Linked DNA regions of Oryctolagus cuniculus. The protein of the gene in region 3 interacts with the protein of the main gene of each other region in a pairwise test. Links are inferred from orthologs where the notes say so. Each region holds a gene or a part of one and is shown on either strand. Other genes may lie near its edges. The genes, in order: HOXC9, POM121 and LPXN.

Region 1 (4,335 bases), on a different chromosome or scaffold from region 3:
CGCACCTCCTCCCTGCTGGGTAGAACTAACTCTAAAACACCAATTTCTCAACACTGAGCCCTCCCATATCGCAGAGTTCTCCTCTTCCCCTTCCTCTTTTTTTTTTTTTTTTAAGTTGATTGGCTTTTCTCTATCTTGCTCTTTCCTTTTCTTTTTCCGTGCTTTCTCCCGCCTGCATGGGGATATTTCTGCGGGTTTTGTTTTGTTTTGTTTTGCTTTGTTGTTTTGTTTTTGTTTTGCTTTTTCCAGGCTGGGGCAGGGTTTACGATTGCTCCTTGTCGGTTTTCTCTTTATTCATCTTTTTCATCTTCATCCTCCGGTTCTGAAACCAGATTTTGACCTGCCGCTCGGTGAGATTGAGAACCCGGGCCACCTCGTACCGACGGTCCCTGGTTAAATACATATTGAAGAGAAATTCCTTCTCCAGTTCCAGCGTCTGGTACTTGGTGTAGGGGCAGCGCTTCTTCCTCGTGGAGCGGGCATGGATCCAGTTGGCTACGGGGTTGCCTGGAGGGCCAAACACAGACAGGGGTCAGCGGAGCCCCCTCTGTAGCCTAGGACCTGTGCCTCCCCACCCCCAGGCTTAGCCAGGCTCCCCAAACCCAAGAATTGAACCTGAATTTGGACACGTTTTGCTGTAGGAATCTTCCCCCCTTCCTCCTCCTTCATTCTGCCCCCCCCTTCTCCCCCCTTTTCAGTTTCCTAAAACTGTAGGAAATCCGAAGCTATTCAAAGCCCCTACAGTCTGGTCCTCTCAGCTTCAAGAGTAGTAATTCGAGAATATCCTCATAAAAAGTCCAAATTCCCAACCGCTTCATAGGCCCATAAACGCTTCTCTCTCTTGTTTTTTATTTTTATAGCGAGGTCCCCCTCCTCCCCACCTCCCTCCTCCTCTGCCCCCTCCCACCCTCCCAGCCCACCACCAAGTCCTGAGGTTTCAGTAGCTCTGCTTCCTGGCCCTGAGAGTCCCCCCAAGCCCCCACCCCACCCCATGCACCCTCTCCAGCTCCAGCGCCGCTCGCTCTGGGTGCAACCCTGCTGAGGCGAAATCTCAGGGTACTGTTGCCTCTCCCCAGAGAGCTGTTGCTGGCCTTGGGGAGGGCATCCCCCTGCCCAGATCTCAGCTCTCCTGCTGGCCTCCAGTGCCCCCCTCCTGCCAACCCCAGGACAGGCTCTGTGGGAGCCAAGCCTCCAATTTCAGGTTTCTGGGAGTAGCTGAGGGCAGGGATGGAAGGCTTCAGAGAGAAAGAATTAGGCCCTGGCCCCTCAGGACTCCCCCAAGTACTTCCTCACACCCAGGGGGCTGCAGCTTGCCCCTGCTGCTTCGCCTTCCCTCTTTCTCTGACCCTGGGGCTCCCACCTGCCCCCCACCTACGCTAGCCAAGCCCCCTCCTCTGCCACACTCAGGGGGTTCCACTCTCCCTGGCTGGGCTGGGAGTGAGTCCCCAGCATGGGGCATGGGTTCCTGACCCCTCTTCATCCCTGAGCCCCCATCCTGCAGTCTTCCTCCTTGCAGACAGACCTTCAGAAGAGGGCTCTCAAGTTTAAGGAGGCTCGGACCACCCCACTTCTCTCTTTGCAAGTCCTGAGCTCTCCAAGTTCCCAGGTTGGGAACTGTCCCAGCCTCCCTGGGGGAGCAGTCCAGAGACCTTTCCTGTGCTGTGGCTCTCTCCTTAGGGGGGGAAGACCCCCAGGCTGACTGCCAGGTGTAGGGGGGTGGCTTTTCTCTCTGGGGTATTTCCTCTCTCCTCACCTCTGTGCCCAATCCCATCTCAAAGCCCCAAAATAAACCTCGCCCCCCGCCCCAGTGCTCCCCTGGCTCTGTAATGCATTTCTTCTTCGAAAGTGGAGAACTGAGCCAGAAAGCCTAGGCTGAGGCTGGGTGGTGGTGGTGGAGAACAGGGGTCTCGCTCATCAAAGTCAGCTCCTGCTCGAGGAGCCCCCCCAGGCCCTCTCTCTCCTAACCTGGCTCCCTGGGCCCCCTCCTCAGATCTTCCTGCCCCTGCCCAGCTCCCTAAGGTAATTCGCTTTTATTGAGTCCTCGCCCCCTCGCCCTCGCCCCTCTCCCGCGCTCCCTGCGCCGCTGCGAGGGGCTGTAATCCGGCTACCCCCCCACCCCCGCCCGCGCCGGTTGTAAAGGGAAATTGCGCCCAACTTACTGGGGTCCAGGTCGGTCTTCTCTTCTTTGTGCTTGCTGCCGGCGAGGGCGTCCGCCTCGGGCGAGGGCAGTGTCTGCGGGGCGCGGTCGCGCAGCTCCCCGGGCGAGCCGTACATGTAGTCCGGGTAGCTGCGGCCGTCGGCCGGGCCGCAGTCGGCGCGGCGCCCGGGGTAGGCGTCCGGCTTGAGGGCGTAGTGACGGCCCCCGGCCGGGAAGCTGGGGAAGGAGACGGCGCCGGACAGCGGCTCGAGCCAAGTCCGCATGTAGCGCGTGTCGGCGCCGAGGTGGGGCTGGGGGCCGTACGGGTGATAGACCACGGACGACTGCGAGGGCACGGGCGCCCACGACGTGCTGAACACGGCCGGCTTGGGCGCGAAGCTACAGGACGGAAAATCGCTACAGTCCGGCACCAGCCCGCTGGGTCTGGCGGCGGCGGGGTGAGCCCCGGTGGCCGGAAACCTGGACGCTAGGAGGTCTTCATTGTCGTGCGAAATGAGCGAGTCCACGTAATAGTTACTGATGGGCCCCGTCGCCGACATCGTAACAGGGTTTTACATACATAAGATTATTGTATGAACTGTATATGTACTTTTTATCTGCTCACAGAACAATCAAGGCAGGTAATTATTTTTCCAGCCTTTTCCCCGCAGCTCATTGGCTCCCCGGCCCCCACGTGATCGTATTTACCCAAAAATACGGCGCGGATCAATGCGCAGGGGCTTTTTTTTTCCCTTGCTTTTTTTCTCACCCCCCCCTCCCACCCTCTTCTCTCTGCTGATCCCCGCGACCCGCGTTTTCCTGGGGGTCCGCAACTCCGGACCCCAGGCGCCGGCCCTCCGCTCAGGACGGCTGAGACCTCGCCACAGGACGCCCCTTGCCCATGTCCACCCATAAGCAGATGGCCTCCCCCGCCCCAACAGCGTGAGGATTTGGGGGGGAACGCGGGGGGGACCGCCCGCCCCCACCGCTTCCCCGAGGCCCGGCTTGCGGGACCCCCGGGGCCGGGCGGGCGCGGGAGCCCGCAGGGGCGGGGAGCCGGCCGAGGTAGGTGGAGGAACTATTTCTTGACGTAATCCGTCTCTGTCGGCCCCGACGCGCCCGCAGCCTCTGCGCGAGCCGAGCCCAGCGATTGTCAGCTCGGAACGTGGCTTTTTAAAAATGCGATTTTAAATAGTGTGTCTGTATGTATTTCTCTCAGGAGCCGCGGCAGCAGCGAGGGAGGGCGGGTGGGAGGGGACTGGAGGAAGGGAAGGAGGGACCGGGGAGCGCCCTCCTGCCACTGGCCGGCTCAGCCCCCCAAATCTGGGCCAGGGGAAGCGGGGGAAGGTGGCCCGGCGGTGGGAGGGGTGCAACTTCGGGCTCGCAGGCCCCTCCGTCATCAGCCTCGGAAGTCTTCTCTTTGCGTTGGCACGGAGAGCACAAGCGCCTTTATTTTAAATTTATTGTCTGTATCTATTTACGTTTCTTTGCCAGCTTGAAGAAGTGGAGGAGAGACCTGCACAACTTAAGTGGGGAGCGTTCGCATCCCGTCTTCCTGCTCAGCCCGCCTCTGCCCCCAGCTCCAGCTCTGCGACACAACCCCCCACCCCCAAAAAAAGAAGTCACTCCCGGGGCTCTGCCTGCAGAGAGCCAGGGTGAGAGCGGGCGAGGCGAGAGAGCGACCTCGGTCGTGGGCAAGTAGCTTGTTTTTACGTCCTTCAATAAAATTTTTATGAGGATCATTTGATTGTTCATAAATGTGTCTTTCATTAAATAAAATTGTAGGCTGTTTTTGGAACGGGAAAAAAGCAACGGAGGGGAGGGAGGAAGCAGGTTTTTGGGGGTCGGATGCAGGGATTCTGGAGGGGCGGCCATGATCGCAGGGAGAGCATCAGACAACTTAGATTGCTCCCCCATAAGTTGGGCTGCTACCCTGCTCCTTGAATTTGGGGTTCTTTGCCCAGTCCTCTGCTTCCCATCAGACTGTCCCCGGGTGGCTCAGTCAAGGGGGGTGGGGTGGGCTTCAGGCAAGCAGGAAATGGCCAGTGTGGGTGCAGGATAGTGGACAGGGGTGTTGGGGGGGAGGATAGGGGCAGGTGACGGCCCCACAGATACAGTGCGCCTAGATACGGCAGAGGGCATTTGAAGGAGGGGTGCAGGGTCGGGGTCAGAAGGGAAGGGTCTCAGACGGTGCTAGG
Region 2 (2,878 bases), on a different chromosome or scaffold from region 3:
AGGTCGAGAGACCACACAGTAAGGCCATCAACACTGGTGACAGATGAGGACAGGGAACCGCGTGGCGGTTACCAGGTGAACCGGCAAGGACACGGAGCTGATGAGGATGGGGGGGGTGGAAACAGCATTGGGGAGCAGGCAGACGCCCCCACACACACCTTGGGCCCTGAGTCGTGAGCACCAGAAAGCCTGGCCTGCCTTGGAGAGGGCAGGTACCGTGAGGACAGCCGTGGGCCACAGCGGTGGGTTTTGTGGGGATGCTAACGAGGATTAGTCCTGGTGGAAGCTGGGACCTGCTGAGTGCTGTGCTGTGCGGTGGCAGCCGAGGGGACAGGGACCGACCCCACTCTGCAGCTGCACAGAACTCTGAGGAAGCCGGGGCGGTGCCCGCTGCCCCCGCGGCTCCACAGTGCTCTGCCATCTGCTTCTAGGCACCTCCACGCCCACCTTTGGTCAGAACGCCTCTGCCCCCGGAGTGGGCGCGTCGGGCAGCAGCCTGTCCTTCGGGGCGTCCTCCACGCCCACCCAGGGCTTCGTCGGCGTGGGAGCTTTCGGTAAGCAGCAGTGGGCTTGGCTTCCAGGCTCTCGCGATGGGCGCCCCACCCCTGCCTGCGCGCTGGAGGTGAGGAACCCGGGCACCGGCCATCCTGATATGTCATTGACTCTTTCCAGGGTCGGCGGCCCCTTCCTTCTCCATTGGTGCGGGATCTAAAACCCCAGGGGCCCGACAGCGACTGCAGGCCCGAAGGCAGCACACTCGCAAGAAGTAGCCTCGGTCTCCTGCCTGTCTCCCACCTCCCCCCCACCCCACCCCCGTCCCACCCGGCACCCAGGCCCGGACTCTGCCTGCCAGGAAGAGCCTCTGACCCTTGGAGTTGATTGAGTAAACTTCTCCCAGACCTCCGGCCTCGGCCGCCAGCAGGGAGGGGCAGCGGCGGGGGCTGGCCCTTGACTTGAACAGTCGCCCTGGTGAGCCCCTGCCTCCCGCCTCCCCCGGGAGCCCCGTGCACACTGGACGGGACTGGGAGCGGGCTGCCTGAAGCTTGACCTTGCCTGGCTGGGCTGGAGGAAGTGGCTCCCCCGCGGGCCCCCGAGGGGACCCTCTCTCCCTGTTTCTCGCTGCTCTGTTCCTCGCAGGATTTTCCCTCTTGAATGACCTTGAATCTAGCTTTGCCTTGGAGCCCCCAGAGGGTGCCGCTCCCGCTGCCCCGTCCCCTCCTGCCAGGTCACTCAGTGTTTTCGTCTCCCCCTAAGAGCTCGGCGGCTGAAGACTGTTAGCCTGGCAGATCGGGGGGGAGACGCCGCGCCCACCTCCGGGCTGTGTCTGCCTCTCGGGGATTGTACGTTCTAAGCCTTGTCCTGTGTCACTAGTCCGATGCGCGTGTCTATCGCTCTTTGAACCGAGTTTGGAGGAAGAATCAAATCGTATGAGTGGCGGCATGTTGGTAGTGCCGGACTTGTTTCCCGACTGTCCTGGGGCCTCGCTAATTGAACGTGGCGGTAACACCGCTTCACGGCCACGCGTGCTGACTCCTGAATTCTCCAGTGGTGTTCTCACTCTAAGGGCTGGCAGCCCACGAGGATGGGCCGGGGGAAGCAGAGCCCTCCATGGAGGCAGGCACCCCCGTCCGCGTCAGGAGACCTGACGTGATGGCCCACGACCCAAGGTGACCTGGCCGCTCTTCCCACACAGGTGCCCCAACACCGCCCCTCCCCCAGGCCCAGGCGCCTTGCTGCCAGCCCAGCCTCTTTGGGAGAAGTGTGAATGCGTGTGTCTAAATTAAAAAAATATTTAAACATTTTTTAACAAAATAAAAATTTATTTTTGTATTTAAGCTAAATTGCCTTTTAAATTCCTTCAAGCTTGGTTCACTGAGGTGGTTAAGTGTAAATGCTGACTAGGAGTAGCGTAGTGAGTTCTGCCTGTGCGTGGCCCGGGCCGCTCCTGGGGCTGTTTTAGGAACAATGTGATGTAGGCGTGACCCCCCCCCCACCCCGCCTGCAGGTGTCGCGCCCGGCCACTTTACCTCAGCTGCACCTGCACAGGCAGGCCAGCGGCCAGGGGCCCCTGCAGGGCCCGAGTGAGTGAGAGGGTGAGTGGATGGCGTGCGCCGGCAGGGGCTTCCCGTTACGGACACACGGATGTAATTCCTGTTGAGTCTAGTTGGAATTTTTAGTATGAATGTGAGATTTTTCTCCTTGCTTATGTCATTAAGAATAAAAAACTGTGATCGATCTCAGGCCCTGTCCTGCCTTTTCTTTCCCGGGGACAGCCACCGGGTCCAGCCGCTGGGGGACAGCACAGCCGCTGCTACGGCCCCGGTGCGGCGCAGGGGTCACCTGCCGCTTTCCGCCGTCTCTTCTTCCTCTTGGGGCCTGGGCTGAGTGGTTCCGGGGGCGACGCTGTGGCCTGGGAGGCTGAGCTAGAAGAAACGGCCCCAAGTTACGTGTGCCCCCCACCCCATCCAGCATCCTCCCGGCAGGCCCCATCCCCTACCCACGCCCTCACCTGGGTACTTGCACCCTTTCGAAGACAGCAACGAAGAAGCCGCCGGTGAGGGTGGTCTCGGGGGAGGCCCGGAGGCAGTGTTCAGCACCTGGGAAAGTGCCGAGGCCTCGGTGGGGCCAGGCAGGGAGCACAGGAGCGAGCCTGCGGAGAGCAGCGGCTCAGGCCCGGGCGGGGGGGGTGGCGCAGGCCGGGGCGGGGCAAGGGCCCGGAGGGAGGGGGCGCAGGCCGGGGCGGGGGCGACAGAGCCCGCTGCACCCACTGCCGTACCTGAAGGTGCCTGGGCTCTGCTGCAGGGCCGCCTGCACCACGTCCTCGTTCTCCTCCTGGCACAGGGAACACGTGGAGTAGACGAGGCGCTGCAGGGCGGGG
Region 3 (4,233 bases):
TCGAGACCTGGCTGCTCCATTTCCAGTCCCGCTCTCTGCTATGGCCTGGGAAAGCAGTAGAAGATGGCCCCAAGTCCTTGGGCCCCTGCACCCATGTGGGAGACCCAGAAGAAGCTCCTGGATCCTGGCTTTGGATTGACCCAGCTCCAGCTGTTGCGGCCATCTGGGGAATAAACAAGCAGATGGAAGACTACCCCCACCCCACCTCACCTCTGCCTCTCTGTAACTCTGCCTTTCGAAATAAATAATTATTTAAAATAAATAAAAGTAGAGCCTCTTTTCTATTTTCTAAGCTTACCTCCAATCAGAAATCAAAGATCCTCCTGGATTAATAAAAATTCATATACAATAGAGATTATAGGAACAAGGAGAGCACACCACTGAGGGTAGGGAGCTACCCTTAAAAGCACCAGCTAATCAAACTTATTCAAGCTGGCCTTCTGGGTCATGAGTTAGCAGGCATTCTTCTTCCTGCTTCCTGTGCATGTATGTATCACCAACACCCGGAGATTAGGCCTTTGGCCAATTTATGTAATTTGAGGATGACTAATTTCAGTATGACAAATGCAGGATTATGTGTGTGGGGGGGGTGCTGGGAGATAGGGAAGTACTAATCTGAAAACTTTATCTATATAATCTTTTACTTGTGGAAATCAAATAATACCACACATAAACTAGAGAAAAGTAAAGTAGGGTTTTTTGAGGTGGGACATGGTCTCCACAAGTTGTGATTTGGAGCCAGTGCCTGCTCCTGGTTCCTTTTTCGCCTATCATCCCTGTGGACTGGGTAGATAGATACAAGCTACCAACCTCCCAGGCAGTACTGTACAGAGGAAATGTTTTGTCTGAGCCATTGTGTCTGTTACTGTTTCCCTGCAGACTGGAAGAAAACCCACCTCAAATCTTGACGGTTACTGATGGGCTGATGATAGTTGGAAGAAACTGCTAAGGTGAAGCTACCAACAGCGTGCTGAGTTGCAGCTAATAGTAGTACAACTAACACAAATGTTAGCTTCCAGGATGCTTTAATGCTTTCTACATTGTTGGGCAGTACTTTTTTTTTTTTTTTTTTTTTTTTTTTTTTACCATCCAAACTGCTCAGAAAATACCAACCAACACAATTTTTAAAATCTGAGTTATCACATTAGTTAGAACGCTTGCAATGACACTTCTAAAATAGAAGAGATGGCATTCAGCCTACTGGTTAAGCCTCCACGTGGGATGCCAGCATCTGTATCAGAGATCTTAAGTTTAAGTCCCAGCTCAGTTCCCCCAATTTCGGTTTTCTGCTAATATGCACTGGGGGAGCCAGCAGGTGATGGCTCAAGTAGTTGGGTTCCTGCCACCCACATAGGAAACTTGGATTGAGCCTGGGAGATAAACCAGAGATTGGGAGCTCTGTCTGTCTGTCTGCCTGTGTCTCTCAAATAAAAAGTAAAATAAAATAGAACTCTTAGAATAATGGATTTTGGTGCTCCTTACAGTAATATTGAACAAGCTTTGTTTTTCTTAGTTTACTCATCTGAGTGAAGTGGGTAATACTTACTTCAGAGGGTTGCTGCAGACACTGGAAATAGTTAACAAATGTGAAAATGTCAGTTTTGGCCTAAGTCACTGAATAAATATCGGTTCCCTTTTTGAACTGTCTACATGAAATTAGGTATCCTTAAAATTATATTTAAAAATCTGCACATACAGAAATTCAAATTCTCCCAACACTCACACAGCCTAAGAATTTGGATTCTAAATCAAGTCCTAAACTAGTCTACCCTAGTATCAATGTATTGGTAGGTAGACTTTGCTTCCAAAACAGTTCAATACTTATTAAACACCTCCTTTTTTCTCTTAAGTAACATCTCTTCTCTCCAGTTACTTGCCCTTCTTCCTGTTTCTTCAGCTCTTAAATCAATTTAACTCCAATTTTTTTAAAAAAAATACAATTGCAAGCTGTGGTTTTTGTTGTTTGCACTTTTGATACATCTCAACCATGCACAAGCACAGGAGACCATGCAATCAGCAGAGCTGAGAAATTGGGTAAAGGTTATTTTTGGTTAGGATGCCAGAAACAAAAGTTGGCAGAGTCTATGGAATGAGTCCCAACAATGAGAGACATAATTCTCCAAAGGTTTGAAATAAGGTTTCTCTCTAGGTAACATGACTGATGGCTCTGCTGGTGGTTTTAATTGCCTTGAAGTGCAAAGAAGCATTATATTGTCATGCCACAGTAATCCGTCCTTTTAGAATTTCTCTGAATAAAAAGCTTAGCAACAAAACTCATTGGAGTTACGCCACTATATCTTTTTGATTTAATACTAAATCACAAAAAACTGAAGCCACACTGATCTTTCTCCAACCTCTGCAGATCCCTTTCTCGAATGTCTATTCCATGTCTCCGCCTTGTGACACATTTGCCAATCCCTGACTCCTTTTTTTCACCCAGATCCCGGTTGTCGTTGCCCAGCTGTGTGGCCAACCTAGTATCTCCAGGAGCCCTCAAAGAAGAATATGCCCATAATAAAATGATAATTTTGAAGTGATTCAGTCCAAAGGTATTTGTCTGGAGTATACTTTGTGGTTACCACAGAATTCTCTGCCTATTGTGCCACTACAAAGAGTAAACCCAAAATGTTCCCAATCATAGTTCCTCAGTTCCCTCTTGGTTGAGCAGAGGACAAAAGTGAAAATAAAATCTTCCAACATCTCCCTCAAACAACTAGAAGTATACCCCCGCACATAGAGATGGTGGCTGCTGCTTCATTCCCTCTGTTTCTCCCAAGAAGCTCCTCACTCACCCAATTCCTCCATGGCCCCACACCCAGGATGCTCCGGTCTCACCAGTTGTGAAGAAGAACTGCTTTTGGCATGTGCTGAACAGAAGACCGCAAAGGAACTGAACAAGACAACGTAATGCAGCCTTTATAACCCTTTTTGGTTACTGTATTTGCTTAGCACTTCCTCTCTTTTGATTTGGTGCATTTCTTCTTCTTCTACTTTTTAAGTAGGTCACAGTTTTTAAAAGGAGACTGACTTTGAAAGGCAGGTTGTTAAGATTTAAGTTCTGGCAGTGCATTGGCTATGGTGATAAAGATCCAAAATTAATTTTTCAAAACTTGAGCACCTACTATATGCTGGGATTCATCTTGAATTCATGGGAATAGCCCATTCACACATGTGGTTTTCTTCCAAAGGTACATGTCCCATTGTGCCTGGGCTTCTGCCTTATTTTTTTCCTTCTGTGAACCTAGGGGACCATTGAGGCGAATCCCTTTTAAAATTTCCATAGCAGTTAACTAGCTCCCAGCTACTTTTGCAGTCTGTATTTGCTTAGTTATTCAGAAATTATGCTTACCTGTTTTCCTAGACAGACAGACTGAAAATCCATTAAAAGCAAGGCATAAATGGGTTCATGTTTGGATCTCAGGGGCTGACTGAGCGGATTCAAATGCAAACATCTACAAGGGGCATGAAGAAGGAAACTGGAAAGTTTTAAGATATCGCGCGTGCTTAAACTGCAAATATCTCAGCTGGGCCTAGTTACACAGCTGTGTAGCAGTGTCGGAAAAATACAAGAAATTAACTCTTCACCATTTTTACTCCTGTGACTTCATCTACCTTAAATGAAATAAAACATTACAAAAAGCCTACTTTGAGAAGGTAGTATGTAAACAGCTTTAATTGTAGCTCTGTTAAATATATTTTATCCCATTTCCCCAGTGGTGAAATAGGTTTGTGGAATCGTACTAAAATAACAGAATGTATCATTCTTCTACAACACTGGGGTCTTTTAAAAAAAAAACCAATAATCCATTTATCACTGTATGACTTAAAAAATTCTCTGTATTACTTTAAGCAGCCATTGGATGTCAGTGCTGTTCTAAAAGTCTGCTCACCGAGAAAGCGGTCGGGAAACACTGCCAGGGACGCTGGGCTAGACAATTTTTACAACTGGAAATGACCTTACGGAAATGAAAAAATGTCCCCAAATACTCAATACCAACATAATTTTTTAGCCTAACGTGGTAACTGAGTCAACACATGGGAAGGAAAACGTCCTTCGGCACTCGTCTACGGTTTAACTGAATGATTCATGTGGAACTTAGAACGGGAACCCCGGATCTTGTTTCCGTCCTCTTTCCTGTGGGGCTTCTACCCTCGGAACCCGGAGGCTTTCGTTTTCAAGGGTGAAGCGCTCAGCTCGCCCCTCGCCGGCTGCACCACCCACTGACTTGCACG

The links.
Region 1: the proteins of LPXN (region 3) and HOXC9 interact in binary tests that used the Homo sapiens proteins (3 or more experiments, as listed by UniProt). The two-hybrid records come from large-scale screens. The link is inferred for Oryctolagus cuniculus from reciprocal best matches to the Homo sapiens genes LPXN and HOXC9.
Region 2: the proteins of LPXN (region 3) and POM121 interact in binary tests that used the Homo sapiens proteins (3 or more experiments, as listed by UniProt). The two-hybrid records come from large-scale screens. The link is inferred for Oryctolagus cuniculus from reciprocal best matches to the Homo sapiens genes LPXN and POM121.

Annotation. Positions count from the first base shown.
Region 1 is NC_091442.1:56,963,074-56,967,408, reverse strand, and holds the start of HOXC9 (homeobox protein Hox-C9), read right to left. Parts: upstream 2,851-4,335; 5' UTR 2,698-2,850; coding exon 2,160-2,697; intron 508-2,159; coding exon 263-507; 3' UTR 1-262. UniProt on the Homo sapiens protein: Sequence-specific transcription factor which is part of a developmental regulatory system that provides cells with specific positional identities on the anterior-posterior axis.
Region 2 is NC_091450.1:50,656,831-50,659,708, reverse strand, and holds the end of POM121 (nuclear envelope pore membrane protein POM 121), read left to right. Parts: intron 1-431; coding exon 432-554; intron 555-672; coding exon 673-770; 3' UTR 771-2,240; downstream 2,241-2,878. Other genes in the region: NSUN5 (28S rRNA (cytosine-C(5))-methyltransferase), read right to left, coding at 2,312-2,423, 2,510-2,650, 2,777-2,878. UniProt on the Homo sapiens protein: Essential component of the nuclear pore complex (NPC). The repeat-containing domain may be involved in anchoring components of the pore complex to the pore membrane. When overexpressed in cells induces the formation of cytoplasmic annulate lamellae (AL).
Region 3 is NC_091432.1:13,564,791-13,569,023, reverse strand, and holds the start of LPXN (leupaxin), read right to left. Parts: upstream 2,870-4,233; 5' UTR 2,806-2,869; coding exon 2,793-2,805; intron 1-2,792. UniProt on the Homo sapiens protein: Transcriptional coactivator for androgen receptor (AR) and serum response factor (SRF). Contributes to the regulation of cell adhesion, spreading and cell migration and acts as a negative regulator in integrin-mediated cell adhesion events.